Lonchura striata: one gene and its partners. The protein of the gene in region 4 purifies or fractionates together with the protein of the main gene of each other region. This does not show direct contact. Links are inferred from orthologs where the notes say so. Each region holds a gene or a part of one and is shown on either strand. Other genes may lie near its edges. The genes, in order: MCRIP1, LSM12, MCRIP2 and DDX6.

Region 1 (7,168 bases), on a different chromosome or scaffold from region 4:
TTCATGCTAGCCAGACGTTTCCTTTTCCTTCTCCTTTAAGACACTTGGAGATGACTGTTCCAAACTCCTGGAGGGGTGGAATACTGTGTGCACTGGCTGTGGCAGGCTCTGAGGGTGGAGATGGCTGATGGCTCACCAGCTGTGTTGACATCCTTTTGATCAAAGACAAGAGTTGCAATCCCTTTCATGAATTATTTTGAGTGGGTTAACCCGGCAGGTGGGTGGTGGGGGAGGGTCTGATAAACAGATCAAACAGGACATTTGCAATTACTGGGGCTTGGGAATGTGACTGAGGGAGTGCCTCACAGGCCTGAGCTGTATCAGGCTGGTTCTTAGCATTCTGCTACAATAACATTGGTACTGAATTTGATGGCCAAATAAAGTTGAGATTTTAATACTATTTTGTCTCTTTATTTGAACCTTCTCTGGAAGGAGGGGTCAGAGTTGTAGGATGATTCTCAAGGGACTCTGCTGCAATGGTGTGTGTGTCACTTTCTCCAATTAGTAAAGGAAAATAACATCCCAATGCTCATGTCCTGTCTGGATTCCATGGGCTTGTGCAGGTGCTCTGTTAGGAGTGAACGGGCCGTGGTTTGGCTCTGAGACTGTGCACCCCCTGGGCCAGCTGGCTGGGCTGAGGGGACATTGCTCTGGAGCAGTGAATCTCAGGGCACGCCAGGGCTGCTGTGGCTCTGCTAGTCAGGCTCACATGACCCTGTGAGCCACGGTGCTATTTCCAAACCTGCTGCTTGCTGCTGAAGGTATTTTGGTTATAAAATATGCTATAAATGTCACAGGAGGGCATGTTGAGGCTAGAGGACAAATGGGGGCACCTCTGTGTCTCAAGGAGTGGGATGTGTGCTGGAGCAGTGGCACGGGTGTTGGACAACACTTATGTCTGTCTCCCACTCCAGCCTTCTGTGCCCCAGCAGAGCCCGTGGTGCTCCCAAACTTTGGGCACAGCAGCCCCAGGGCTGGAGCTGAGCAGGTCCCCACTGACCATGGGAACAGGAAGGGCTGTGCCTGTCAGAGCAGCAGCCAGGTGTGTGTGAGACCAGAACCTGCAGTTACATGGAGGTAGACCTCTGAAGATGCCTCCCTCCAGGGCCATGCCCCCACCTGACTGAAGGTAGGCAGTGGCTACTGCTGCACCTCGACAAACCCAGCAGTGCTGGTAACCTGGGCTGGTTGGTGACAGCTGCTTTGTCTTTTGGAGTGGGGAGGAGGGGAATCTCACTAGTAAAGTTCCAGTGAAAGATGCTGTCTAGAATTCAATTTGAATAGATGTATTTTGCACAGCCAGTTGAACTGTGACCAAGTCTGAGCTCTGCAGTGGCTCTCCTCTTCCTGGGCAGAGACTCACTGAGCTCAGCTTAGAGGAGATGCCTTTCCTAGCCCAAGGCTCCCTGTGGCAGAGCAGGAGCTTAGCAGCCATCTGATGTACATGCCTAATTGCTGTTCCAAGAAAGCAGGCTGGAAGTCCCTAGTACTGAGCTTGGATGCCCCGTACCATATTCAGGCTCATCTAAGCACAAGCAGATGCTTGGCCAAGAAATCAATGCATTGGCCAGCAGATAAACAAGTGCAGGAGTTGTAAGGTGCATGGTTGACTGTGCTGCTGGGGTCAGGGCAAGGGGCTGCAGCAGGAGGGGCAGAGTGAAACCCCTGACTTAAAGCAGCACAGGGATTTTTTCTGACACACCCACCTGGACAATCCCCATCAGCATGACAGAGCACAAAATGCTTCAGAGTCTGACATGCCCAAACTTTGATGGGAGAAAACAGTGGTTGCTTAAACCCATGGTGGACCTGAATGATTTCTCTCAGATGGTTCTGTTTTGGGTCATGACAGTGTAGCTGGAGAGTATCAGAGGCAGAAGCTGTCTGATGGTGGTGCTGTTCTGCTGTTCCTCTAAGTCTGCTTGCAGTAGCCTGCCCTCAGCAGCAGCTGCTTCCCTATCTCGAGGAGGACAAGGAACACCAGGGACCAGCAGTGCCGGCTTCTAGTTCTGTGCCTGTCTTGGGATCACCAGCAGCACCTCTGTCCTCACAAGGGCACAGGGGACATCTGGCACTCAAGTTGTGCTTCCTTGCTGGGCTGTGCTGTCACAGCTGTGCTGGGCAAGGAACTCCTCCGGCTCCTTTTAGGTTGTCCCCTGCAGCAACAGGAGGGTGACAGCTCTGGATGTGTTTGTGCCCATGGCCCTGGCACACCCACAGTGCACTAGCCAACTGGGACACGAGCGGCCAGTTCCCTGTGTTGCTGGTTGTGCCCATGCCCCTTCCCCCAGAAGGATTTGAGTTGATGGGAAATTGCTTCCAGGCTCCCCTGTAGGGCTACCCATGCAAGAGTAGATTTGACCCCTTGGATGGGGCACATCAACAGGTGGGTGGTAAGATGAGACATCAACTTCTGCCCAAAAGTGGGAGGCTGCAGGCCTGGGCGGTTCGATTACGAAGCATCATGGCAAATAGCATGAGCTGCATGTCCCCAAAATAGCCCAGGGAGTCTTTATAACGTGGTGCTCCCAGAGAATCAACAGTCCTGGGCCAAGGGCCTGTAGGTGAGCTGCAAGTGCCAGGCGCCACCTCCTGCATGTGACTCAGGGAGTACAGGAGAGCACGGTGGCTGCCACTTCCCTGTGGCAAGGGGACACGGACACGGGCGGGGGCACAGCAGGAGCGCAGCGCTGCGGGGCCAGCACACATCCGTAGTGAGGAGGGCCCCTGACGGGCAGAAGAGGAGGCAGCCCAGTGAGGGGCTGGGCCGCGTGCCGAGCAGTGCCCACGCCGCTGTGCCTGGAGGCTGCGGTCAGCATGAGGGACTATTGCCCCTTGGGGCCACGGTACCGCCGGTACACGCCACGGCTCAGGGCCTCGCGCACCGTGCACTTCCCCAACGACGTCGTCTTTCAGGACCACATCAAGAAGGGGGACCTGGAGCAGGTGGGCAGGTTCATACGAGCCAGGAAGGTGACACTGGACACCATCTACCCTTCTGGTGAGTGCTGCTGGTGGGCAGAGCTGGGGAGAGCAGCGGCACAGCTTGGTGGGGCTGTGAGGGACACTCGAGCTGGGCTGTGGGCCACCTTCAGCAGGACTGCAGCAAGCCAGGCCCCTCACTAGCAAGAGCAGTGCCCAGCAGGGCGCAAGAGCCCCAGGCCGAGGCCCCAAAATCTGCCCTCAACAGCACAGCCAGCACATGCTGTGGAAAGAGGAAGCTTGGCCTCTGGGTCCCTTTAAGGCACCACTGAGCACCTACAATGTGTTGGGACCTCAAAGGGCAGCAGCAAGCACAGGCTGTGAGCTGCGGGCAGGACCCTGCAGCTCCTGCCTTTTCCCCTGACTGGGGGATCTGCATTTGCTCCTGGTTCTGCCTGTTTCTCACAGCCACTGCTCCCTTTAGTATGTCTGCCTCTGGGGACTCAGGGAAAGCTTTGTGTTCTGTGTGTACAGCCTCACCAGCAATGGAATGGAATGCCGTGATCTCTGCAGGCTGATGCAGAGCCCAGATTTGTCCTTTTCTTGTGCTTGGCTTCAGCTTCTGCTCTCACAAGGCCATGGAGACAGAGGCTCAAATGACTCTGAGCTTCTTTCTGTCCATACTGATTCTTTGTTAGTGATGAGCTTCTGAAACTCAGGCAGAGCACGATGCGAGAGACCCTTCTCATGTCTGCATGTCAGTCCTGTCCAGGACTCTAAGGGGCAGTTCCACTTCCCTCTCTCTGTCCTGTCTAGCTGGGGCAATGGGTGCTGCACCATCCCAGACAGGGTATTTATGCTGCAGAATGGCAATAGGAACCCACAGCAGCTCCTCTGGCTTTCTCAGTCTTTGTTTCTTTCCCCACAATCCTCTCCCTGAGGACAGTTCCTGCACCCCTTTCCTGAGCTGTGCACAACTCGTGAATTCAGCACGGAGAGCTCTTGCCCTGGCCAGGGCTAACACTTCTCTCCCTTCAGGCATGGCAGCCCTCCATGAAGCCGTGCTGACGGGAAACCTGGACTGTGTCAAGCTCCTGGTGAAATACGGCGCTGACATCCACCAGAGAGATGAGAACGGCTGGACGCCCCTGCACATGGCGTGCAGCGACGGCTACGCCGACATAGCCAGGTAAGGGCTGTGGGGCCGCGCGGCGCGCTGCAGCGGCGGCCGTGCGGCTCCTTCGGGGGCTGCCCGGTGCCGCCGCTGCCCCCGGGGCTGCCCGGCCCGCCGGCTCAGCTCCGCGTCCTGCAGGTACCTCCTGTCCCTCGGGGCCAGCCTGGAGGCCACCACCGACGACGGGGAGAAACCGTCGGACCTCATCGACCCGCAGTACGAGGACCTGGTGCAGCTCTTCGGAGCCACCGTGCTGCGCTGAGCCGGGCATTGGCGAAAAGCGGCCCCGAGCGCCTCGGGGCCGGCCAGGCGGCTCCGCCTGCCGAGGGCCGGGGCTGCGCCTGGGCTGGGCCCGGGCGGCGGCCAGGCAGCAGCGCTCGGTACTGCGAATCGGGAACCACTTTGTACTTTTCCAATAAAGCATCTCGGTCACTGCCTCCGGCGCCGTCTCCGCCGCCGTCTCCGGTGCCGCCGGGCCGGGGCCGGGCCGGCCGGGGGCGGGGCCTGGCGGGCGGAGGCGTGGCCAGCGCCGCGCGCAGGGCTGGCGCGGGGGTGTGGCCGCCGCCGGTAGGGGGCGGGGCTGCGCCTGCGCGCTGCGGCGCTTCCGTCTGTGCGGGTGGCGCAGGCGGGAGGGCCCAGGTGAGGGGCGCGCGTTGCCCGGCGACGGGCGGGGGGCGCCGCGCGGCCTGGCCCGGCCCTGCGCCTCGCCTTCCTCCCGCGGCCCCGCCGAGCCCCTTCCGGCCCCGCCGAGCGCCGCTGACAACATGGCCAGGTGAGCCCCGCCCGGCCCCGGGCCCAGCGCGGCCCCGGGCCCGGCTCAGTTTCCCCCCGCGCTCCGCTTGCAGCTCCCCCGTGTCCCGGGTGGTGTACAACGGAAAGCGGAGCGGCGGCCCGCGCTCCCCCGGCGCCGGCAGCGAGATCTTCACGCCGGCCCACGAGGAGAACGTGCGCTTTATCTACGAGGGTGAGCGGGGCGGCGGCCGCTGGGTGGGGACGCGGGAGGCTCGGGGCGGCCGAGGCGAGCGGCCCCTGGCGCTGTCCCTGTCCCCGCAGCCTGGCAGTGCGTGGAGCGCGACCTGCGCAGCCAGATGGGCTCCGAGCGCGGCCTGGTTGAGGAATACGTGGAGAAGATGCCGAACCCCAGCCTGAAAGGTGCGCGGGACGGGGGCACCGCGCCGGTGTGTCGGCCCGGGGGTTGCGCGCGCCGGGCGAAGGCTGTGCTGCCTCTGCCCCCAAAGTCTCTCCTGTCTCCCTTGCAGCGTTTAAACCCGTCGACCTGGGTGATCTGAAGAGGAGGAGCACACAGGATGCTAAGAAGTCCTAAAGCGGGTCCTCCCTGCGGGTCGGCTGCTCACCTGAGCTCCTCAAACAGATTTAATTCGAGATTTTGTGTTGATTTCCTCCTCTGGTCTGTCCTTCTAAAAGTCCATGGTAGAGCCAGTCAGCTCTGGGGCTGGCTCTGAAGCTGCCTGAGGTCGAGGATGCTTAGGGCCTCACCGAGACTGCCCAGAGCCTGTTGCAAAGGATTCCAGCCCCCCACTCATAGCTTTTTCTCACCTCAAACTGCTCTTCCCTACTTCATGCTGAGCAACCCGATCCCCTGTTCCCCTCCTGTCGCTGCCCTCTGTGCTAGGCTGGGCAGGGCCAAGGCAGATGCGCTGTTGGATCAGGCAGCATGGGGTCGTGCTTTCCCTTGTGCATTGGAGCTCCACCGCTGCTGGGGCTGGCCGAGGGCAGGTGGCACAGCTGAGTCTATTCCTGTGCCTCCAGACACAGGGGCAACTCCTGTCCAGCCCCACTGTGCAGCTGAGGGCTGGGAGACCATAGTCAGACTCCTCCCAATTCCACTGTGGCAGCAAGTGCTGCCTGGGCTGCTTGCTGCCAGAGCACGTGGGCTACATCTGAGGCCACATTTTCTACCTGCTTAGATCAGACCTGGTCCCTGTGGTGCTGGAGGGAAAGGTGTTCCTTTCCCTACAGATGGAGAGGTGGAGTGTCATCACCTGCACCAGGCTTCTGAGGGGTGCTCAGAGGGACCTGGGCCACCTGCAGCCCCATAGGAGACAGTGGCCATGGGAGCAGCCATGGGGCTGCACAGAGCAAGGCTCGGGAGCTCCTTGCTCTGGCAACGCTGCAGTTTTGTACTAACACCATTTTCCAGATAGGCAACCCCTGGAAGAGACCTACCTGGCCCCTCAGCTTGCCCTGGGTGGCTGCAGGTGGTGGAACCACGCCAGGGGCGCTTCCTTAAGCCACTTGCTCCTGGCACTGCGTGGATAGCTCCTGCATCCTTGCCTGGGCCAGAGAGAGTGACTGTGTCAACTTAGCCCACCCGAACTGCTGGGCTGCTCCATGGGGAAGTGTGGCAGCCCCCTGCCTGCCTGTGCTCCGAGCTGGCGGGGATGGGGCTGCCAGGCCTGCCCAGTACCAGTGGCTGTGGGGAAGGCTACGGGGACTTGGGGCTGCCAATTCCTTTCCTTTGCTGAGTCCTTGAGTTGTACTGTACCCTTTCCTTACTGTGGTATGTCACTTGAGGAGTGTTGTAAATAAACGCTGGTGTCCTTTTGGGGCTGCCTTGGTGTGGTGCTGCAGCCTGGCCCAGTTCTGAGGTGTGGACAAGGGGCAGAGAGCAGGGGCTGTGTTTGTTTTTCGCAAAAGGGCCCTGGCCTTGCACTTGCTGGGGCTGTTGATTTCCCTGCGGGCAGGTGCCGCGTGTCAGTGGCTCAGTGCCCTTGGTTGGGCAGCGCTCCGGGCAGCCAGCATCCCAGGAGCTGTCACTGCACCCAGGATTTAAATGTTGAGACTATTAATACCCTTGTATCCTCTTCCCTCTCCTGCTTTAATGGCATTTAGGCTATACTTAGCATTGCTTGAATTTCTGCTTGAGTGCATCATGACACTTACCATGACCCTGTTTACCTCCCATTGCCAAAACATTGCTGTTGGTGCTGTTGGTTCTGGCACAGCAAGATGGGAACTCAGTCCCTATTGCCTCCCGAGCCACCCCAGGCCCTGCATCCCTGTAGCTGCAGGCAGTAGGGGACAGGAAGCTGTGGGCAGTGGGGGACAGGG
Region 2 (7,120 bases), on a different chromosome or scaffold from region 4:
GCTCCCCTGCCCTGCTGCACCACCACCACTGAACCAGCTCCCCCAAATTTGCTCTTTTTCCACCAGAACTCTCTCCTTCCCACAGGCAGAAGGTCCCGGGGAGCATTCCCTGCTCTGGGAGGAATTCCCAGCAGAGGGATGCATGAGGTGGGTGGTTGGAGCTGCTGTTGGGAATGAGACAGCACCCCCAAAAAAACACCACCCCTTCCAGAGTGGAGAGAATTCCTGCACAATTCCTCTGCTCCCGGGAGGGTGGAGGGACGGATGGATGGATGGATGGATGGATGGATGGATGATGGATGGATGGATGGATGGATGGATGGATGATGGATGGATGGATGATGGATGGATGGATGGATGATGGATGATGGATGGATGGATGGATAGATGATGGATGGATGGATGGATGATGGATGATGGATGGATGGATGGATGGATGGATAGATGAATGGATGGATGGATGGATGATGGATGATGGATGGATGGATGGATGGATGGATGATGGATGGATGGATAGATGGATGATGGAGGGAGGGAAGGATGATGGAGGGATGGATGATGGATGGATGATGGATGGATGGATGGAGGGAAGGATGATGGAGGGATGGATGATGGATGGACGGATGGATGGATGATGGATGGACGGATGATGGATGATGGATGGATGGATGGATGGATGGATGGATGGATGGATGGATGGATGGAAGATGGATGGAAGATGGATGGAAGATGGATGGATGATGATGGATGATGGATGGATGATGGATGGATGATGGATGGATGATGGATGGATAATGGATGGATGATGGATGGATAATGGATGGATGATGGATGGAAGATGGATGGATGATGGATGGAAGATGGATGGAAGATGGATGGAAGATGGATGGAAGATGGATGGAAGATGGATGGAAGATGGATGGATGATGGATGGATGATGGATGGATGGAGGAAGCACAGCATGGAGAACCTCTTCCATGCCAGCACCATCTCCTGGAAGAGATCCCCATGGAAGGCCCTGCTCCTCTCCCAGCCCCCTGAGCACAAGGTGGAGCCCCCCCAAAATCGCCGCTCAGTGAGCAGGAAGCCAGGGAATTCCATCCAGCTGTGGAAGAAGAGCTGGATTTTGGGAAGGGCCCAGCCCCCCTGGGGCCGACAGGCAGCGCTGAGCAACCTGTGAGACCTGCTGGGACTTTCCTCCAGTGGGACCCGGCAGCTGCCCTGGCTCCAGCCACATCCCAGGCACCCAGGGGCCCTTCTCCTGTCGTGCTTCCCACAGCCCAGGCCACAAAAGCCTCTCCCAGCCCCCCAGTCCCTGCAGAAGCCACCCCTGTGTCCCCAAACCCACCCCTGTGCCCCAAACCCACCCTGGTGCCCCCAAACCCAACCCTGTGCCCCCAAACCCACCCCTGTGTCCCAAACCCAACCCTGTGCCCCCCAACCCACCCCAGTGCCCCCAAACCCACCCCAGTGCCCCCAAACCCACCCCTGTGCCCCCAGCCCACACCTGTGCTCCAAACCCACCCCGGTGCCCCAAACCCAACCCTGTGCCCCCAAACCCACCCCTGTGTCCCCAAACCCAACCCTGTGCCCCCAAACCCACCCCAGTGCCCCCAAACCCACCCCTGTGCCCCCAACCCACACCTGTGCTCCAAACCCACCCCTGTGCCCCAAACCCAACCCTGTGCCCCCAAACCCCAGCACCAGCCCTGAGCTGAGCTTTCCCCCCACCCGGGGCCCCCCAGTGCTTCCCGAAGCCTTTCCCCGTTCCTTGCAGGCTCCAAACAAAACCAGATCCACGTCTATTCCTACTGGGGAGGCCGGGACCCCCCCACTGCCCCCACTCACCCCAATCCAGCGCTCCCAGCCCCCCACAGTGAATGCCACACCCCCACTCACCCCACTACAGGGTTCCTCGCTGCCCCCCCAAAAAAAACCCTCCAGGACGGCACAGTCCGCCCCATCCTCCCCAAAACTGGGTGCTCCTGTGCCCCCCTTCAAGCCAGTACAGGGCTCCCCACTGCTCCCATCCCTTTATAATCCAGGACCCTCATTCACCCCAAAACGGGCTCCAAATCCCCCCATTCCCCCCTAACCCAGGCTCCCCAATCCCCCCAAAACCTCCGTGCCGGGCTCCCCACTCCCCCCTAAGCTCTTTATAATCCAGGACCCCCATTCACCCCAGAATGGGCTCCCAATCCCCCCAAAACAAACCTCTCCGCTCCCCCCAAAACCTCCCTGCCAGGCTCCCAACTCCCCCCAACCCTTTAGAATACAGGATTCCCTAAGCTCTTTATAATCCAGGACCCCCATTCACCCCAAAACGGGCTCCCAATCCCCCCGTTCCTCTCTAACCCAGGCTCCCCAATCCCCCCAAAACCTCCCTGCCGGACTCCCCACTCCCCCAACCCTTTAGAATACGGGATCCCCTAAGCTCTTTATAATCCAGGACCCCCATTCACCCCAAAACGGGCTCCCAATCCCCCCAAAACCTCCGTGCCGGGCTCCCCACTCCCCCCTAAGCTCTTTACAATACAGGGCCCCCACTCACCCCAAAACGGGCTCCCAATCCCCACATTCCCCCCTAACCCAGGCTCCCCAATCCCCCCAGAACAAACCTCCCCGCTCCCCCCAAAACCTCCCTGCCGGGCTCCCCACTCCCCCCACCCCTCGGGGGTCTCCCCGCTGCCCCTCAAACCCCTCCCTGTCGCCGCCCACCTCCATCCCCTCGCAGCCCTTCCCCTCCTTCGCCCCCTTTCCCCTCCCTCCCTCACGCCCCCCCCCCCCCCCATCGGGCGGGCCGCAGAGGCCCGAGCGGGCCGCGCCGGGGCCGGGAGCAGCGGCGGCGAGGCGCGGGCGGGTGGATACTGAGCGCCAGCATCTTGCTGGGGTAGTCGAAGGCGACGACCTCGCCCTGGAGGCGCTGCTCCTGGCAGGTGCGGCAGGACACCTGGCTGCCCACGCTGAAGTACTCGCCCGGCGCCGCCATCTTGTCCGCCCGCAGCGCCCGCGGCTCCGCTCGCCTCGGCCAGGCGCGGCGGGGGCGGGGCCAGGCGCCAGCGAGGGCGGGGATTGGCGCTCCGCCCCGCCGATCTGCTCCGCCCCGCGCGCTGATTGGCCGGGCCCGCCCCCCCCACGCGCACCCGGGCGAGGTTTGGCCCTCCCGCCCCGCCGTAGCGCGGCGCCGCGCGGGCGGTGCTGGGAAGTGTAGGCGGAAGAGGGCGGTGAGAGCGGCGGGAGGGAGCGCTGAGGGGCGGCCGGGATGGAATCCGCCCCTCAGGTACCGCCCGCCGGTACCGGGGCTGGGCAGCGCCTCCGGGAGGCGCAGGGGCCGCAGAGCCCGCCGGTGGGGACGGGGAGACCGGGGGTCTTGGTGTAGGGAGAGCCTAGGGAGGCCTCGGGCCTGAGAGCCCAGGCAGGCCCAGAGGGAGCCCAGAGGGAGCCCAGGGATGCTCAGGGATGTTCAGGGATGCTCAGAGATGGTCAGGGATGCCCAGGGATGTTCAGGGATGCCCAGGGATGTTCAGGGATGCTCAGGGATGCCCAGGGATGTTCAGGGATGCCCAGGGATGCTCAGGAGCCGCTGCAGGGAGAGCCCAGGGAATCCTCAGGGAATAGCAAGGGAGGCTCCAGGGAGAGCCCAGGCGTTCCGCAGGATAACCACAGGACAGGGAAACCCCAAGGAATAACAAGGGAGGCTCCAGGGACTCCCCAGGCCTTCTGCAGAACGCCCACAGGAGCCCCAGGAGGTCTCCAGGGAAGGCCCCAGGGCGGTGGTGGCTCTTTGGAGCATCTGGGCTGCTACAGCAAATCCCACAGCAATCCCTGGGATGCTGCCCCGGCCCCATCCCAGAGCCAGCAGAGGCGTGTCCTGCCCCCGGGCAGGGGCTGGGCACCCGTTTCTGGGCAAGCTTCAGGTGGTCAGTGAGTGCCTGAGCCAGTGCCAAGGCACCCCTGGGGTCCATGGGGATCCATTCCCCTCAGTGCCAAGGCACCCCTGGGATCCATCCCCTCCCACGGCATCCCCATGAGATTCCCAGGGATCCGTCCCCGTCTCCATGGGATTCCCAGGGATCCATCCCCATCCCTACGGGATTCCCAGGGATCCCACCCCCGTTCCCAAGGGATTCCCAGGGATCCATCCCTCCATCCCCATTCCATCCCCACGGGATTCCCAAGGATCCATCCCCATCCCCACAGGATTCCCAGGGATCCATCCCCTCCCAGCCCATCCCCAAGGGATTCCCAGGGATCCATCCCCGTCCCCAAGGGATTCCCGGGGATCCATCCCCGTTCCCAAGGGATTCATGGGGATCCATCCCCATCCCCACGGGATCCCCGGGGATCCACCCCCTCCCAGCCCATCCCCAGGGCACTCCCGGGGTCGGTGCCCGGGCTGACCCGTCCCTGCTGTGCCCAGCCCGGTGCCATGGAGGCCCTGCACGAGGCGGGGATCCGCGCCGCCGTGGCCCTGCAGGCCGGGCCGGCCTGGCTGGAGCGCTTCTGGCTGTTCCTGACGTCCCAGCTGGATCCCAAATCCGTCTACACCGTGTTCTTCCCGCTGGCGCGCGCGCTGGGCAAGCACGTGCCACCGCTGCTGCTCTGGATCGCCCTGCTGGCCGAGTGGCTCAACGTGGTGCTCAAGTGGTGAGGGGCACACGGGGGGCTCCCCGCACCCTGCCGGGGGCTCGGGCACAGACTGACCCCAGCCCGGGCACAGACTGACCCCCAGTTTGGGCACAGACTGACCCCAGCCCGGGCACAGACTGACCCCAACCCAGGCACAGACTGACCCCCAGTTTGGGCACAGACTGACCCCAGCCTGTGGGGTTTGGGCACAGACTGACCCCAACCCGGGCACAGACTGACCCCCAGTTTGGGCACAGACTGACCCCAGCCCGGGCACAGACTGACCCCCAGTTTGGGCACAGACTGACCCCAGCCCGGGCACAGACTGACCCCAGCCTGGGGGGTTTGGGCACACACATTGACTCCCTGCCTGCCTGGGGATTTTGGGGCACAGACTCCCAGCTTGGGGCATTCCGCAGGGTCACCCCAGCCACCCTGAGCAGCCGCCAGCAATTCCGGGCAGAGGAAAGCTCAGGGGGCATCGGGGCTGGCAAACGATCCTGATCCTCTGTGGCTTCATCCTGGAGATGGGATTGTCCTGGGATGGGCTGCAGGGATCCTGCTGGGATGAGCTGCAGGGATCCTGCAGGATCCTGCTCTCCTGGATCCCAGCTCGGGCTGCAGGGACCTTGCAGGGATCCTGCTGTCCTGGATCCCAGCTCGGGCTGCAGGGACCCTGCAGGATCCTGCTGTCCTGGATCATTCAGGATGAGCTGCAGGGACCCTGCAGGGATCCTGCTCTCCTGGATCCCAGCTCGGGCTGCAGGGACCCTGCAGGATCCTGCTGTCCTGGATCATTCAGGATGAGCTGCAGGGATCCTGCAGGATCCTGCTCTCCTGGATCATTCAGGATGGGCTGCAGGGATCCTGCAGGGATCCTGCTCTCCTGGATCCCAGCTCGGGCTGCAGGGACCTTGCAGGGATCCTGCTGTCCTGGATCCCAGCTCGGGCTGCAGGGACCCTGCAGGATCCTGCTCTCCTGGATCCCAGCTCGGGCTGCAGGGACCCTGCAGGATCCTGCTGTCCTGGATCATTCAGGATGGGCTGCAGGGACCCTGCAGGATCCTGCTCTCCTGGATCATTCAGGATGAGCTGCAGGGATCCTGCAGGATCCTGCTCTCCTGGATCATTCAGGATGGGCTGCAGGGATCCTGCAGGATCCTGCTCTCCCGGATCATTCAGGATGAGCTGCAGGGATCCTGCAGGATCCTGCTCTCCTGGATCCCAGCTTGGGCTGCAGGGACCCTGCAGGATCCTGCTCTCCTGGATCATTCAGGATGGGCTGCAGGGATCCTGCAGGATCCTGCTCTCCCGGATCATTCAGGATGAGCTGCAGGGATCCTGCTGGGATCCTGCTCTCCTGGATCCCAGCTCGGGCTGCAGGGACCCTGCAGGATCCCGGCCCGGCTCTCTGGGCTTTCCCAGCCCCGCGCTGTCCCTGCCGCAGGTTCCTGTTCGGGGAGCGCCCGTACTGGTGGATCCACGAGTCGGGGCTCTCCAGCCGGGAGCAGCTCCCGCTGCGCCAGTTCCCGGTCACCTGCGAGACGGGCCCAGGTGAGTCCCGGCTCGGCAGCCCCGGGAGGAGCCCCGGGAGCCCCGTCCCGGCGGGAGGAGCCGTTCTGAGCGGCGGGGAAGGGCTGGGCTCGGCAGTGCGCCTCTCCTGTGCTTCGTCCCCAGGGAGCCCCTCGGGGCACTGCATGATCCTGGCGGCGGCCCTGTGGCCGGTTGTCACCGCCCTGAGCGAGGAGGTGTCCCGGTGCACCCGGAGGTGAGTCCGGCACGGGCAGGGGCAGCGCTGGGGATGTGGGGCAGAACCAGGGGGAGAGGCAGGACGAGTCCCGGGATGGAGACACCGTCCCTTGGGAGCTTCCAGAGTGGAAGAGGGGGTGGATGTGGGACCCCAGCGCCCGTGGAGGGTGATGTGGATCCCTTCCCTCGCTGCAGAGCCGCTCCAGGGGACACATCCCTTCTCTGGCAGCTCGGGAAGGGGCCGGGAGAGCCCCTGAAGCCCCCCAGCAGTTTTAGTTGCCCCGTTCAGCCGTGCTTTCCTCCCGTTCCCTCCCAGCCGGCTGCTGAGGCTGACCCCGTTCCTTGCCTACATCGTCCTGCTGGTGGCCATGGGGCTCTCCCGCATCTTCGTGCTGGCCCACTTCCCCCATCAGGTGGTCACCGGCTCCCTGGCAGGTGAGGGGGGCGCCGCAGCCTTTCCCCGGGCCCCCTCCCGGTCCGTCCCAGTGCCGACCCCGCCTGTGCCCCCGCCAGGGATGGCTCTGGGCTGGGGGCTGCAGCGCTGGCCCCCCAACTTCCTCAAGTGCCGCTTCTTCCTGCTGACGGCTCTGGGGCTGCTCCTGGGCGCGCTGGCCCTGCACGGGCTGGCCACGGCCGCGGGGCTGGACCTGGACTGGTGAGAGCCGGGGGACGGGGGGCAGGGGGGTCCCGGGTGACAGGGGTCTCACAGGGGACAGGGGTGTCACGGGGGAAAAGGGGTCTC
Region 3 (7,839 bases), on a different chromosome or scaffold from region 4:
CCAGACCAGCTCCCACCTCCACTGTAATTTATCTGCCGCATGTTCCCCCCACTGTGTGACCCCCCCCCCCCAATTACTGTCCAGCAGCAATCGAGAACTGAGTTGGGTTGCAGAGGGGTGGGAGATCTGCTGGGACCACCCCACTCATAAAATCTTCCCACTTCACCAAAGCCTCTGGGCCCAGTGTAACACCCCAGGGTGCTGGACCTGGCCCTTTCATTGGTGCTGGAGGTGGAACTGGGGACACCCAACCCCAGTGTTTGTGCTGAAAACATCAGGGAGCTACTGGGGCATGGGGGGCAAAGCCACAGAGTTTATTGCGGAGGCAGCAGCACAATCCTGGGGAGGGGGGCAGGGGGAACACCACCAGCACAAGATCCTCCAAGGAAATGGAGCAAGGAGTCTCCCCCATGCCCACGGGTGTTGTGTGCCCCCACCCCACACACACCTGTGTCCCCCACAGCAGCTGTGCTGGCTCTTGTGGTCCAGGCTGGGGCACCCCACTGCAAAGGGAGCTCCAAGGGCACTAGGGGAGATGGACCCCCCCTCCAGCCAAGTCAGCCCCAGCTGGGGTGAGTGGGGCTCCGTCCCATCACTGCTGTCCCCAGCCCCAGTGGCAGCCATGGTGGGACAGCGACACCGCAGGAGGCTTCAGTGGGGACAGCAGCGCTGGGAGGCGCTGGAAGCGCCGCCAGGGCAGGTCACAGCTTGCGGAAGATCAGGCTCTTGTTGTTGGCCGGCATGTCCACCTGGAAGCACAGAGCGGGCTCGGGGGTGCACACCGCACGGGCAGCCCCCCAGCGCCCATCACCTACCATCCTCTCCAGGCACAGCCCGTTGGCCTCAGCCAGCTCCTGCAGCAGCGCCGTGTCCCGCAGCCCCCAGGCGGGATTCCTGCGGGGAGGGAGGCGCGGGTCACCCCGGGGACACCCCGCCCCAAACCAGCCCCATCAACCAGGGGCACCCCCGGCTGGGGGGCTGCCCTCAGGCGTGGCTTATCTTGAAGGACCACGCTGGGAGGGAGCTTCCTGCGGCTGCAGGGGGGGACAGAGAGGACGGGATGGGCTCCCAGGAGCCTGAGCTCCCCAGCCCCCTCCTACCTCTGCCTCAGGCTGTGGTCGAAGTCCACGTTGCTCTGGGGGCTGATCCGGCCGTCCACGGCATAGGGCTGGTGGGACACAGCTGGAGCTGCAGGCAGGAGCCACCCTGTGCCTCCTCCTCCACCCCAGCTCCGGTTCCACGGACACTGCTGTGTCCCCACCAAGCACAGAAGCCAAGCGGGAAGAGACAGAGCCCCCAGGGAGTCCCGCCACGCACTGTGAGTCCCGTCACCCACTGCAGGCACCCCCAGACCCTGCTTTGGATGAGGTGAGGGAGGACAAGATCTGTCTCCCCCAAAACTGCTCTTTTCAGTTCTCAGAATGTGCCCAAAAAGGCAGAGACCCCCAGAAGCCAAGCCCCTGCATTTTCCAGCTCTCCCCCTAAGCCGTGACTGCAGCTGCCCTCCCACCTGCCCCCCCAGTATCCACTCTGGCATCCTGCACCCCCAGGATGCTCCTGCACCAGGACAGGTGACCCACCCCATAGGTGAAGAGCACACCTCCAGGCTTCAGCAGCACCCCAGCACCCTTGAACAGGCCCTGGGGAACGAGAGGCGGGGACCAGGTCAGGGGGCTGGGGAACGCCCTGGGAGCCCCCTCGGCCTGGCAGGGGAAGGGGCTGTCAGGGCTGCTCACCTCGGTGCACCGCAGCTCTGCGATGTGCATCATGTTGATGCTCACGATGAGGTCGAGGGAGGCGGGCTGGGTGCCCCCCCAGGTCTCCCAGCCCTGGGACACGTCCAGCAGGATGGGGGGCAGCAGGTTGGGCAGCCCTGCAGCCTCCACGTAGGCAGCGATGCTGTGGGCACCAAACCCCGCCTCAGGCCCAGCCGGGTGCCCCGTGCCCCCCAGCAGGTGCTGCAGGCAGGGACAAAGCCCTGCGTGGGCTCTCAGAAGTGGAGGAACACCCACAAAGGGACGTGGGTGCAGCACAGCCTGGGGCTCCTTGCCCAGCCCTTTGCTTGCAGCTGCCAGATGGAGAACTGGGAGTGCCTGGATAACCAGCAGCATGTGGACACAGAGGCCCCAGGGCCAAACCTCCCCAGTTTTGGAGCACCGTCCCCTTGTGGGGCACCCCACGGGCACCACTGCACCAGCACCTCCTGATTTTGCTGTTATTTATGTCCTTTTTGGCACATTCACCACCTAGGTCTCAGCTCCTGCAGCCTCCCAGCCTGGAGATTATTTTTACCCAGGGTGGTGGGTGCTGCTGGGTGGGCAGCACCAAACTCCTCCTGGACAGGAGCTGGTACCAGCACCTCCCCACCAGGCTAATTATTTTTCTGCGGTGGAAAACTGAATTTTGGGAGTTTTCTGGGAAAAATAAAGCTGGGGAGCTGGGAAGCATGAGTTGTTTGGGAGTTGGCTATTGGGGATTTATTGAAGAAAATATAGTGAGTATTGACCTGGGGAGCCTGGGCTGGGCAGGACTTGAATATTGTGGTCTGCCTGGAAAAAAATAAAGCATCAAGCCAGAGAGTCTGGACTGTCCAAGGGGGTATTTGCTGGGAAAAAATAAACATTAAGCTCATCTGAGAGCAGGATATTGGGGTTTTCCTGGAAAGAATACAGCAGCAAGTGGGGGAGCCTGGGCTGCTGGAGAGTCGATTATTGGGTTTTTCCTGAAAAAATAAAAGAATCGTGGAGCCTGGGCCCACTGCTGAGTAGGCCTTTACTGGGAAAAAATATGCATCCAGTTCATCCAAGAGCTGAATATCGGGGTTCTCCTGGAGGGAACAAAGCACTAAGCAGGAGAGCCCGGGCTGCAGGAGAGTCGGACGCTGGTGTTTTCCCAAAATCCCCGAAATAAATAAATAAATAAATAAATAAAATGGGGAGCAGAGAGCGGGGGCCGCGGGTCCATGGTCCGTGGGAAGGGGTGCCGGTGGAGCCCCCGGGGTCCCCGTCCCCCCGGGACCCCCGGCCCCGCTCACCTGCGCAGCGCCCCGGGGTCGATGTCCGAGGGCTGCCAGCGCGCCTGCGGCAGCGCCCGGGCGAAGTGCGCGGCGTGGAGCCCCGCGCCCGCGCCCACCTCCAGCACCCGCAGCGCGCCCGCGCCGCTCCCCGCGCACTCCCGCAGCACCGCCAGGATCGGGCCCTTGTTGCGCTCCGCGGCCGCCGGGACCTGCATGGCCGGGCCGGCGGCGGAACTACAGCTCCCGGCCCGCCCCGCGCCGCGGGCGGAGCCCCCACGGCAGGGGAAGGAGAAAGAAAACTGCGCCGCCCGGGAATCGAACCCGGGTCGCAAGAATGGGAATCTTGCATGATACCACTACACCAGCGGCGCGGCCGGCAGCCGCCGCCTCCCGCCGCCCCTCGGAGCTGCCGCCCCCGCGGGACCCCGGCCCGGCCGCCGCCGCTCCGCCGCCACGCAGCGGCACCCCCGAAAGGGACAAAGCGAGGCTTTGCGCGGGCACCCCAGGAAAACGGAGGCGAGGGGGGACCCCCACCCGCCCTTTCCCGCGACAGCAGTCACCGGTGATGGAGGTCCGGAGGGATCCACCTAGAGCACAAGGATTAGGGGTTCAGGCCTTCCAAGCGTGGAAAAGGTCAGGGGTGCGCCAACAGGCACTTAGAAACCCCGGGCAGGTCTGCGGGGAAACTGAGGCACAGCCGCCAGCACGTTACATGCCAGTAGTGACATCCCATGGGTCAGGGTTGTTTTTAGGCACAATAACAGGGCTGGGGGTGACAGCAGTGGATGCACACCCCCAAAAGGTCTGCTCCTGCCTGGCACCCACCAGGGTCAGGCGCTGCTGGGCTTTTATGGGAGGTACCCTCTTACACGCCTCCCTCGCTGGCCGCTACCGGGGCAACGTGGCGGAAAGGCGAAGGTCACCCTCGTGTTTATCACACGATCTCTCCCCAAAACTCCGGGTGCTGTCGACAGCCACAGGGGCGGCCGGTGGACACTGCGGGGTGGCCGGGGTCCAGCTCGGGGTCGTGTCCTGGGTCTGCACCTCCTGCCACGTGCGGACACCTTGGCGGGACGTCCCCGCTCCAAAGGTTACGGCGCTGGCCGGGACGCGGCTGCCCGCCCCGGCTCCCTGCGCTGGTCATGGGACGTGCAGCTCGGGACTATTCACGGCGCTGTCCCCGTGGGGGTGGCACCTCAGCCCCTGCCTCTGCGCCCCTTCACTTTTCCCTGCCTGGGTCCTTTGTCCGGGGTCCAGGAATGACACCTGTCTGTCCCCTGTGTGTGCCGTGGCTCCAGTGTCCTGTCTCCTGCATGTCCCCGTGCCGGTCCCCCCGAGTTTCCCGTGACTCCCGTGTCCTCTGCGCGTCTGTGCCATCTTGTGTCCCACGTGCCTGCTTGTGCCCTTTCCCCTACTTGAGCCCCGCACGGTCCAATGTCCCTTGTGTGCATTCTGTGCGTCCTGTGCGAGTCCCACATGTCCCCTCTGTGTCCCATGGAAGTCCCCATATGCGCCCTGCTTATGTCTCCAGTGCATGTTCCTTCATCCTGCGTGTCCCCATTAATCCCCACGCGCGCCCCCGATGTGTCCCCGACGTGTCCCCACAACCCAGGCACGTCCCTTACGCAGCACACATGTCGCGTGTGTCCCTGCACGCCTCCCGCGTGTCCCCACGGCCTGTCCCGCGCGTGTCCCCCGCGGCCCCGAGCGGCCGCGCGCTGTCGCCGCGTCCCACCGCTTCCCCCGCGTTCCCTTTAACTCAAGCGGGGGCGTGCCCGGAGGTTGGCTCGGCGAAGCCCGCTGACGCCCGGTGAGGGACACCTGAGGCACTCGGGCAGGGGCGGCAGGGCCGTGGGCCGGGGCCCGCAGGATGTACACGCTGACGCGCGGCCCCAGCAAGCTCGCCACGCAGCGCCGCACAGGTACCGGGGGGCGCGGGGCCGGGGCCGCGGGGGCTCGCTGCCACCCTCGCCGCCCCCTGACGCCCCGCGCTCCCCGCAGGTCCCACGCAGCAGGCGGTGGACAGCAGCAAACTGGGCGAGCTGCGGGGCCGGCCGCAGCCCGGCCCGTGGCCCCCCGCCAGGTGAGCCCCGCTTGACCTTGGGACGGGGACCGGCGCTGGGGCGGCCGCGCCGCTTGACCTTGGGAAGGGGAAGGGGAACGGGACGGCTGGGCCGCCTGGCAGGACGCGGGAGGGGACGCGGGCTCTCCGCTCGGTGCCGCTCGCCCCGGGGGTCTCAGCGCTGCTTGTGCCCGCACGCGTCCCGCGGAGCTCTGTGCACGCGTGCCGGGGCAGCCCCGCGTCCAGGACACACCGGAGCGCCGGTCCCCCTCCTTCCCACGGGCCGTACCCAAAAATCTCGGGGAGTGGGCCCAGGGGGTCACGCCAAGGAGGCGGCGCGGCGGGGTCCCGGTGCGGGGCAGAGGCGGGGCCGCTGGCGCAACCCCCACCCGCCGCCGGCCCCGATTGCACAAACCGGGCGGCGGGGCCAGCGCCGGGCCCGCCCGCTTGGCCGCGCCGCGCACCCACGGGGGCCGCGGAGCCCACGCGGAGCTGGCGATCCCCTCTGCCCCAAAAGCAAGGGCGACACTTGCTGGGTGAATTTGTGTCCCGCAGCAATACCTGGAGCTGCTGGCTGGGTGCTGTGGGGTATTCCAGTGGCTGGGGGGTGGTGATGGGACCCCTAAGGAGACTCTTTCCAAACTTGAGGGCTGGAGTCACAGCACACCCAGACAGGATAGTGGGACCCCGCTGTTTCTGCACCTCCTCTCCAGCTCCAAGAAGTGGATGGATGAGCCTCCCCCGCCAGTCCCTCTGCTTTCCAGGATCTCTAGAATTCACTGGAGTGGCTTCTGCCATGCTTGCCCTCCTCCTGTCTGCCCAGTGCCCCTGGATGTGGGGGCTACAATGTCACTGCCCTCCCCAGCCCCTGCCTGCAGATCTGCAGGAGCTGCCTGCTCCCAGTCTCTCCTGCCCTCCAAACCCACTCCTAGGGCCTCTTAGACTTTGTCCCATGAGGAACGTGGCTGTTGCAGACGTGTCCTGCCCTGGAGCTGAGCAGAAAAGCCAAAATACTGGAGTTTTGCACTGAACATGCTCCCAAGTCTCATCCCAAGTTTTTCCTTTAGCTCTGGTGGGGGTTGCTGCATCCAGGGAGGGAGTGGTTGAAGTGCCCCTCAGCAGAGGGCATCCCAGCTCTGAGGAAGCCTGACCTGCTCGTACTTTTCAGAATGTAACATCCCAGTCCTGGGGCGCCTTGTGTGCCCCATGCTGGGGCCAGAGCTGTTCCAGTGAACCTGAGTGCTTGATCTGCAGAAGATGGCACATCTTCTGTCCAGTACCTGACTGGATTTCACTTCCATTTCCTCATGTTCCTGCAATTTTAGTGGCAGATTCTTTATCTTAGGGACTGCACTTGGTGCTAGATTGCAGGATGGGTGGGAGATGGGCAGCTGGTGCTTTTCCCCAGGGAGCTCCCCTTGCACCCCTCCTGTGTCAGAATCCCCTGCCCCTGGGGGCTGGGTCCCTTTCCATCCCAGTCCTTGAGGACAAGGCTGGGTGACCACAGCTGTGGGTGAGTGTGTGCACCGTGGGGGAGCCCAGGACACCTGAACCACCCCAGTTCTTGCTGGGGTGCGCAGAGCTGCCTGTGCCCTCATCCCCCTTTGCTTCCCTCCTCCACAGTCCAGTGCAGAAACTCGTCTTCAACAGAGTGAACGGCAAGAGGCCCCCCCTGCTGCTGCAGCAGATCTCAGCCCCTGAAGAATGCTACACCCTGGCCCACGAGGAGAATGTCCGCTTTGTCTATGAAGGTGAGGGCAGAGGGTCCCTGGGGCAGCACCCAGGGGACCTGGAGCAGATGGAGTCCCTCCATGCCGGGGACATCGGTGGCAGGCATGGAGTCCCCGGCCTGGGGGCTTGCCCTCCTTTGCTCCACCTCCTGCTCCTGTCCCACAGCCCCCCACACTGGGGACCCCCATCCCAAACCCATGCAGCGCTTGTTCCCCTCTCCAGCCTGGCAGCAGGTAGAGCAGCAGCTGGACGGCAGCCGGAGCGGGGAGAGCGCCTGCGGCCCCGTGCAGTATGTGGAGAAAACCCCCAACCCCGGACTCAAAAGTAAGTGGGCAGTGGTTGTGGCACTTTGGGGTGCATCAGGCTCGGGGTGCAGTGGCTGTGGGCTCAGTCTGCATCTGAACAGAGCTGTGGTGGAAGGACAAGGAGGATTCCAGTGCTGGACGTGCCAGAGGGGCTGGTTGGGTCACTCTGGGGGTGCTGGGGGGAGACAGCTGGCCCCAGGCACTGTGGTGGGGATGTTGCACTGCGTCCCTTGGATGTTCCACTCTGTTGCTGACTCCTCTGGCATTCAGGCCTTCTCCTGCCACCAAGGGGCTCAGGATCATGCTGGAGAGAAAGGAGGCACCTGTGGAACCCACTTCTCCTGGGGCCAGCAGGAACAATTGGGCATGGGGACAACACTTGTCTGGTGGCACCCGGAGTCAGCAACCTGCAGGTTCTTGCAGCAGCTGAGAACTCCCCAAGGAAGAGAATGTTCCTGTACACCCAGTCTGGCCTTTTGGGGACATGGCACAGAGGTGGAGGAGGCTTGGGGGTGTCATTAGATTGGATATCAGGGAAAGGTTCTTCCCCCAGAGGGTGCTGGGCACTGAACAAGCACCCCAGGGAATGGGCACAGCCCCAAGGCTGCCAGAGCTCCAGGAGTGTTTAGACAAAGATGTCAGGCCCAGGGTGGGATTGTTGGGGTGTCTGTGCATGGCCAGGAGCTGGACTGGAGGATCCCTGTGTCCCTTCCAGCTCAGGAAAT
Region 4 (7,482 bases):
GGGTAGGAGCAGACAGAGATGAGCTGGAGACAAATAGAATGAAAAATCAGAGTCTGGGCTGAGACAGGAAGGGCAGGAACCAGAGCTGCAGGAGATCTACTGAATATGGCAAGCTGAGGCTTCTGGGAACTCTGCTGCAATTCTAGGACTGGAAGTGGATGGCTGCCATATCTGGGATGGGATAAGTGAACAGTGAGCATGCAGAGGGACCTTTGTACAGGTCTCCTGCATGACAATTGCAGCAGGTTTGGGGGTGGAAGAAAAAGTGTTGTCTGTAATAGAGCAATTGAGTGCATGCCTGGGAAAACTGTTCCTGCATGCTTTTTGGTCGAGGTTCCCTTTACCCTATAACCTGCATCACAGAGTTATTCTGGTCTCCCTTTGTCAGCTGTTTTTCTCAGTTCCCCACAACTGTCAGCGATCAAAATATTTGGCTGTAGAAGTGAAGCAGCTTGTCCACTGTTACGGATTTTCCATGTGAATCATTCCCTTCTAGTCAATGCCAGGGCTGGGAGCAGCAAATCTCATTTTGAAAACCTCAGAACTGTAATTGCCCACATCAATACAATATACTGACAGAGCTTCTGCTCATGACTTCTGCAGGGGCTGAACCAGGGAAATCCAGGAATAAGACCAAGGCCTGTGGAAATTACATGTTACTGCAGTGTAGGTGCCTTAACGCTCTTGAGTCATGGTGGTCCCATTGCAATGAAAACTGGGCCAAGGAACCTCAGGGAACCTAGTATAGATCTCAGTGGTTTTTCTGCAACTTGTTTTTGGATGTCTAGTCCGCAGATGAGGAAGGTTAGCAGGCAAAGCATTTTTGCTATGGAGAAATGGGGTTATCATTTTGGACACGGTACTTTTCTGCAAGGTTACAGAGTCAAAAGTCTCATATGATAACAAAATTTACGTGAGGCCCTCACTGTATTCACTGTGTGATACTGAGATAAATGCCCTTTTGGTGTAAATGTTCTCATAATTTTTCCTTCCATAATTGCTCAATTGATCAAACGATCCTCTCTGCACAAGGCAGAGTTTGTGTTGCCACCTTGACAAGACACTTTGGAGGCCTTTTTTTTCAAATCTTTATGGGTAGGTTGCTGCTACAAGCACTGAGTATAAGTAAAGCAACATATGCCACCACCAAAGCAAATACATTGATGCTCATGTGATATCTGCGGCCTCCCTATTCCAGGGAGGGAGCCAAATCTGGGAAGCTGCCAGAAGACAGAGGTGGGAAACAACACATATCAAACTCCCAACTGCAGAAGTCTGAGAAAAGGTCTAAAACTCTTCCTGCTGTGGCACCTGACTGTGGGTGTTTAGTCCTAAAATCAGCTGGGTTCTGCCACCCAACCCTCCACTCACACGGGGTCTTCTTTATTATGTAAAAGAATTCACAGCAGAGATAAAATCACAAAGCTAAGGATTATGTAAGTTTTGTATGCAAAGAAAATGAGATGAAAAAGGTTTGAGTTTGGTTTTAACCCCTCAGGAAATTTTAGCGCTGCCACTGAACTTCAACAGAGGTCAGGGAAAGAAGTGTCTTCTCCAAAAGAGTTTTAAAGGAATGACCACTATTTGCCAAGGGTTTTTATACTGGATGAATCAGAAAAGAAATAAATAGGGTAGGGCTTGCTCTTCCCTGGTGTGTAGGAAAAAAGGAAGAACAGAAAATCAGGTAACAATTGAATCCAACATTTCTCTTTTTGGAATAATTAATCCTGAGGTCTGCTGCAGGGAGCCACTGTAGTAAAAAAATAAATTCTGAGATGCAATATTTGATAACCAGGTTAATGATAATGCTGCTGTGTTCTTCCCGTTGGATAGCACAACATACTGTATAAGGTACAGCTGCTCTTTTTCACTTGTAAAGGCTGGGAAGAGAACTAAGGTAGAATACCTAGTGTCATCACTCTCTGTTAGAAGTAGTACTTGCAATCTATCTCCCACTCTTTAATCCTGTCTTGTAAATACACTGCGTGTTCCCCTTTCAGCAGAGTATATGTGGAGCCATATGTATGGAAGCCTGTATGTGGAGCAAGTAAGCAGGGTGGTCATACCATACCAAGGGTTTTTACACACGTAGAGAGAAGACTGGGTTTGCTTGGGTATTCCAGTTGTCAAAGGAGACCAGAGAAGGTGTACAGGGCTTTGCACACTGTGTACACAGTCATTTGTACTACTGAAGCCTGGTGCAAAAGGTTCCTGGCTCAGAATAACTGTTTTATGCCCATGTTGTGCTAATGGCTGTGCAGACAGCAGGGCAGCAGGAAGCAGAGGCAGGGAGAGGCTGGCAGCACAGGATGGGACTGCTGGAGCCCCACTCTGGCAGAGACTCCTGACCCTTTGCAGAGACTCTGGTCTGTGTCCTCATGAAAGGACAGTACTCGGGCTTAGTGCTTGCTAGTACAGGTTCCGTTAGCTTTCCCCAACAGAATACCCAGCATCCCTGCATCACAGGCTGGAGCCACACTACGCCAGCTCTCTGCAAGCAACAGCTTGTAGTCAAGTCTGGATTTAAGGGATGCAAGGACTAATTATGCTGGCATAAGAAATGGCTCAAGCTCTGCCTCTGCCAACAGGAGGGTTAGAAGATGGATGGCCAGAAATCTGGCCTTTCAGCCCACCCTAGCTCTACCTGCCATCCCTGTTATCAAGCAAAGCCAGGCCCAACTCACCAAGTCATAGGTCTCTGATGAGTAGCTGACAGGCCCCATGGTTTGAGGGGCACGATCCGTCTCTCCTCCAGAAATTGCTGCAAAAGTTATTTTCTGAGGTGGAGTTAACAATTTAAGTGAGTGGGGAGGGACACAGACTGTAACAATAGAGTATTTGCAAGGCAAATGAGCTCCAGGCATAGAGTGACCTGATTGATGTAAAGATTAACATCTAGCTTTATAATCTTTTTACTAGTGCTGTAATTGATTTTTAAAGTAGAGTTTGAAGAGTCCCTATTCCTTTGATCTATACCACAGAAGATCCAGAACATATTTAGGTCTTCCTTGGAAACCTTGCCCACAGCTGTCTTTGTTACAGGTGGTCCAAAAGGCTTTGAAAAGTTCTGTGCTAAGGACCACCCTTACCAGAAACCTCCTGGATCCAGGCACTTCTCTGGAGCTGTGCAGGACTTTGAAGCATGGGTATGGTCTGTATGATCATCACCCTCTGCCTTGGGGTCCTCCTGGCTGCTTTAACCCCACTGACTTGTAGTGGTCTTCTGCTCCTCCTTCTGCTGCTTCACCCCTCCTTTGGGCTTGGGGGGGGGGGGGGGTGTGAGGTGGCTTGCACAGGAAAGCAAAGCCTTGCAGCTACTCTGCAAGTCTAGAGCAGGGCTAGCAGGGGCTAGGCAGCTTGACTTCACAAGGGTAAGTAAGGAGAATCAAGATCTTCTCTGCTTGGGGAAAGGCATTTTGTTCAGTGATGTCACAGCAACAGACTCACAGTGGTCTGGGTCAGCAGAGTAGGTTGGCATTGCAGCTGGCATTTTGGCAGAAAGCTTTACCTGTGCGCGGAGCTGAGGTGGTCTGCCAAGCACAGTTTTTGTCCTCCTCTCGTCTAGGTACAGCTGCATCAAGGCGTCTCTACCAGCAAGGACTCTGGTGGGACTTTGTACTTGTGAAGGAGAAGGTGGTGTTATTCCCATGAGCACTGCTGGATTACACCACTCCTGTTTCTTAGACCCCGACTTGTTGGGCACCAGCTGCCCCGAGGATGTCGCTGTCCTCCCATACCGTGAGGACCTCTGTGTGCACCTGCAGGTGCTCATCAGCTCCTGGGCATTTTCTGCTGACAGGATGGAGAGCAGCAGACCCGGAGGGAGGCCACAGGGAGCTTGCACTGTGCCTCACTCACAGGCAGAGCACAGACTGAGCAAGCCCTGTCCTGAACCCCGTGCTGCGAGGGCTGAGGGGCAAGGCGAGGAGTGGGGTATCACTGGGAGACGAGAGGCCAGGAAGGATGTTTGCAATCAGCTACAACTGGAGGGTGGAGCTTGTGCCTTTTGCTGCTGAGGGTGGAAAGACAACCACCTACAGACTGCTGGAGCTGTGAGGAACTAGATAAAACCAGGAATGTCCCTGTCCTTTTGCATGTATTTTGGAAAAACATTTGAAGAAAAAATTGTCTGCAAAGCAGTCACTACTAAGATTACATTCCCACTGTGTCTCGGTTTGTCAAAATCCACATCTAAGTAACAGCTATCTAAAGAGAAATGCCAATCCCCAGCTTGTCACGGTCGGCGGTTACGACTCCTGCAGGCTGTGGCTCAGACCCCCGTTGTTAGGTTTGTGTTGGCTCTGTTTTAACGGCAAAGCCCGGTCAGCTCCCCGGGTCAGAGGGGAGGGCCGGCTCTGAGGGAGGGGACGAGCGGCCCGCCCTCGAGCGCGCTGGGTGCGGCGTGACGCACGCCGAGCGTACGGGCGTGCGTACGTACGTACGTACGTACGTACGTGTGCGTGTGGGCCGGGGCGGGGCCGGTGCCACCCGCCGGGAGGGGGAGGGCGCACAGGAGGAAGGAGGAAGCCGCCATCTTGGAGCGTCGAGTCGCCATAACAAGGCACCGGGGGAGCGAGAGGATTTTGTACCTGGGCGAGGGGGAGCGCGGCTGGTGGCGGTGAGCACGGGCCAGGGCGGGCGCGGCTCCGTGGGATCAGGGTGAGGGGGCCGCTGCCGGCGGGCCGCGCCTCGCGGCCTGCGGCGAGAGCGCGGGCCTGAGTGGGGCCTGGCGACGCCGCGGGCGGGGCGGGGACGGCCGGACCGGGCCTGGGCGCACCGGAGCGGCGGGGCCGGGGCACCGCGGGGGCGGGGCCGGGCGGCTCTCGCTCCCCGCCGGCCCGGGCGGCGAGGGGCGGCCGCTCCATTGTTCGCGGGCGGGAGGTGCCGGTGTGGCGCAGCTGCGATCGGCGGGCGGCGCCGGGCCCGCCGCTCTGCCCCGGGGCTCTGCACTGCGGCCCGGGCTCATCGGGCGCGCTGAGCACCTCGAGGGCTCCCTTTGTGCCGGGCCCAGCCGGCGGAAAGGGAGAGGTCCGGAGCTGCTGCCCTGGCCGCCCGCCTGCGCCCGGAGAGCAGAAATATGCGACGGAGGCCCTTTTTTTTCAGTCCGTTGGTTTGCAAAATGGTGGCGGTTTTTTTATCGGAACAGGGAGATTTTTTTGGGTTCCGTGAGACTGTGCGGTTTTTTTAACCTGTGCTCTTCAAAAGGATAGTTACGAGCTTGAAGGCATAAGGGACTGAGAGGTTTCATTTCCTACACCATTGGAGAACTTATCGGTGTTAGTAGTCGGGTCTCATTGGCGTCTCTGGCTGCCTTCGTAACTCCTCTGGTTTTTACGAAGTTAATTGCTAAAAGAAGTATCTTTCCGAAGATGCCTTGAAAGTTAACTAGCAGAAAATCCTAGTATCGCAAACTTTCCAATGTTGCTGGAAGCCAGCACTAACACACCTTAAAACAGCTGGGAAGTCTGAATTCCTTTTCCACTTTCTTGAAATGCTCTTCAATATGCTTTTTTATTCACAGGGAAGACATGCATTTTGTTGTGAATGCAGAGGTTAGGAAGCAGTAGTCTGCTGGTTTTCCCTTTGTGTTTTCCCAAGATGCAGATGCTCAAGGCGAGCCTACTTTTCATTCCAAAAGATTTTGGACTAGGGACGTTTTGTCTCCCTGGTATCATTGTAAGGAGTCTTTAGCTCTGGTCCATACTTGCATTATGTAAGAGGCAGACTACGTGTTGTCTTTCCATAGTTTTGCAACCTCTCTATTACATACAGTGTCAATATTAAGTCATGTGTATGAAATGTTATCTTCTGAGGACCACACAAGTTGTTGCTGACAGTGGGAAGGTAAGATCACAAGCAAGAAGCTGGGGAACCAGCAGCGTTGCTGCCTCAGTTCAAGCTCAGTGGCTTTGACTCCAAGAGGCAGCTGCTCTCAGTTCAGTGTAATGGTGTTGGTTTGTCGCTCTTCTGAATAGCCTTAAATCAATACCTGGTTGAAAACTGGGGGTAAGCTGGTTGAGCTAGCATTTTGGGTTGGAGGAATGTAAGCTGTTGGTTTGGTTTGCATAATCTATATTTCCCATTCAAACCAAACAGGGCAATTAGTTTATAATGTAAGGGTTTTGTCAGTTCTAACTGGAATGTCCGCTTGATATTGTAGTCTTGCTTCTTGTCACAAATTTACGCATAATATTGTTGTTCACGTTTTAGGGCTGGTTGGCTGCATCACGGAAGTGGGGGAATTGGAGAGCCATCAAAGCAATTGATACACTTAATGGTTACTTTATCAGAGGGGGTAGGTAGTGGAAGGTCGCTGAAAGTACAGCTGTTTGGGAAGTTTTCTTTGATGTCTGAAGATGTTAGGCAACATTTTCTAGAAAGACAAAAAATGTTTGATGCATGTCTTTATAATTATCACGAAAACGGCAAGTACTGTTGTTGCACACAGTCTGGAAGAAATTTTTCTTAAAATACAAAAGTAAACTGATGTGATTTGCACAGAGAAAAATCCATATGCTAATTGTTATTGTCTGCTTCTCTTTCAGATTGAAGCAAGTGAATTGTGATATAACTGAACTTCAATAGAGGGCTTTTTTTAAAAAAAAGTTGTTCCACAGTGCATCAGAGCAAGTTACTGCTTTACTTTTGAGTGACTTACAGGTGCTTGCCTGCATTGCAATAAAGGACTCATATATTGAGCAAGACTTATTTATCTCTTCATTTTGGAGAGTCTAATAAACTGTTATTACAGTTTCTGTACTGACTTTCAAAGTTTTGAAGTCTAAAAAGACATCTTTAAAGATAAAAGCATGAGCACGGCCAGAACAGAGAACCCTGTTATAATGGGTCTATCCAGTCAGAATGGGCAGTTGAGAGGCCCTGTAAAACCCAGCGGGGGCCCAGGAGGTGGAGGCACACAAACTCAGCAACAGATGAACCAGCTGAAAAATGCCAACACAATCAATAATGGCACTCAACAGCAAGCACAGAGTATGACCACCGCTATTAAGTAAGTGTTTGTATCGGCTGCCATGCAAGGAATGTTTAGAAGTTATGTATGGGAAAGCATTCTTGGATTCCCACTTTGAAAATGCTGCCTTCTGTTTTGTCACATGGGTGGTTAGAAGTGTCCTGTCATGTGCATTACAAGTATTTCCACATGTGAGCTTCTCTCTTTAACAGTAATTTTTGTGAAAATCCAATTTGGTCCTGTGCTTTTCTGAGTGTGAGCCACTGTCAGAGGTAGCCCAGCTTTTGAATCCTGTGTTTTTTGCTTGCTGGAAGTGGTGCAAGAAGGAAGTATAGGAGTGGGAGGGAACTGAGCTGACGTTTAAGACTGAGGAGGAAATGCCACCTGGTCTCAGTCTAATTGTTTCTGCCTTTCAGTTTATTGTAATTCTTTCCCATGGTGAAAAATGCTTTAAAGTCAGTTATCTTCTGTTATTGATCTGAAATAGTAGTTCCTGATCTCCTCATTGTAAT

What was found.
Region 1: the proteins of DDX6 (region 4) and MCRIP1 purify together in Homo sapiens (affinity purification with mass spectrometry; 3 studies listed by BioGRID and IntAct, with this or other methods). This does not show direct contact. The link is inferred for Lonchura striata from reciprocal best matches to the Homo sapiens genes DDX6 and MCRIP1.
Region 2: the proteins of DDX6 (region 4) and LSM12 purify together in Homo sapiens (affinity purification with mass spectrometry; 5 studies listed by BioGRID and IntAct, with this or other methods). This does not show direct contact. The link is inferred for Lonchura striata from reciprocal best matches to the Homo sapiens genes DDX6 and LSM12.
Region 3: the proteins of DDX6 (region 4) and MCRIP2 purify together in Homo sapiens (co-immunoprecipitation; 5 studies listed by BioGRID and IntAct, with this or other methods). This does not show direct contact. The link is inferred for Lonchura striata from reciprocal best matches to the Homo sapiens genes DDX6 and MCRIP2.

The regions. Positions count from the first base shown.
Region 1 is NC_134621.1:11,909,792-11,916,959, reverse strand, and holds MCRIP1 (mapk-regulated corepressor-interacting protein 1), read left to right. Parts: upstream 1-4,771; 5' UTR 4,772-4,860; coding exon 4,861-4,868; intron 4,869-4,941; coding exon 4,942-5,060; intron 5,061-5,149; coding exon 5,150-5,248; intron 5,249-5,355; coding exon 5,356-5,420; 3' UTR 5,421-6,665; downstream 6,666-7,168. Other genes in the region: PPP1R27 (protein phosphatase 1 regulatory subunit 27), read left to right, coding at 2,818-3,001, 3,961-4,111, 4,235-4,358. UniProt on the Homo sapiens protein: The phosphorylation status of MCRIP1 functions as a molecular switch to regulate epithelial-mesenchymal transition. Unphosphorylated MCRIP1 binds to and inhibits the transcriptional corepressor CTBP(s).
Region 2 is NC_134627.1:8,636,785-8,643,904, forward strand, and holds the start of LSM12 (protein LSM12), read right to left. Parts: upstream 3,046-7,120; 5' UTR 2,990-3,045; coding exon 2,869-2,989; intron 1-2,868. Other genes in the region: G6PC3 (glucose-6-phosphatase 3), read left to right, coding at 3,263-3,280, 4,421-4,647, 6,077-6,183, 6,307-6,397, 6,695-6,813, 6,892-7,033. UniProt on the Homo sapiens protein: Nicotinic acid adenine dinucleotide phosphate (NAADP) binding protein. Confers NAADP sensitivity to the two pore channel complex (TPCs) by acting as TPC accessory protein necessary for NAADP-evoked Ca(2+) release.
Region 3 is NC_134618.1:2,610,983-2,618,821, reverse strand, and holds the start of MCRIP2 (MAPK regulated corepressor interacting protein 2), read left to right. Parts: upstream 1-4,807; 5' UTR 4,808-4,886; coding exon 4,887-4,938; intron 4,939-5,017; coding exon 5,018-5,099; intron 5,100-6,701; coding exon 6,702-6,829; intron 6,830-7,031; coding exon 7,032-7,133; intron 7,134-7,839. Other genes in the region: METTL26 (methyltransferase-like 26), read right to left, coding at 702-749, 816-894, 1,101-1,168, 1,581-1,640, 1,737-1,899, 3,035-3,231.
Region 4 is NC_134625.1:11,073,296-11,080,777, forward strand, and holds the start of DDX6 (putative ATP-dependent RNA helicase DDX6), read left to right. Parts: upstream 1-4,475; 5' UTR 4,476-4,618; intron 4,619-6,210; 5' UTR 6,211-6,295; intron 6,296-6,545; 5' UTR 6,546-6,809; coding exon 6,810-7,009; intron 7,010-7,482.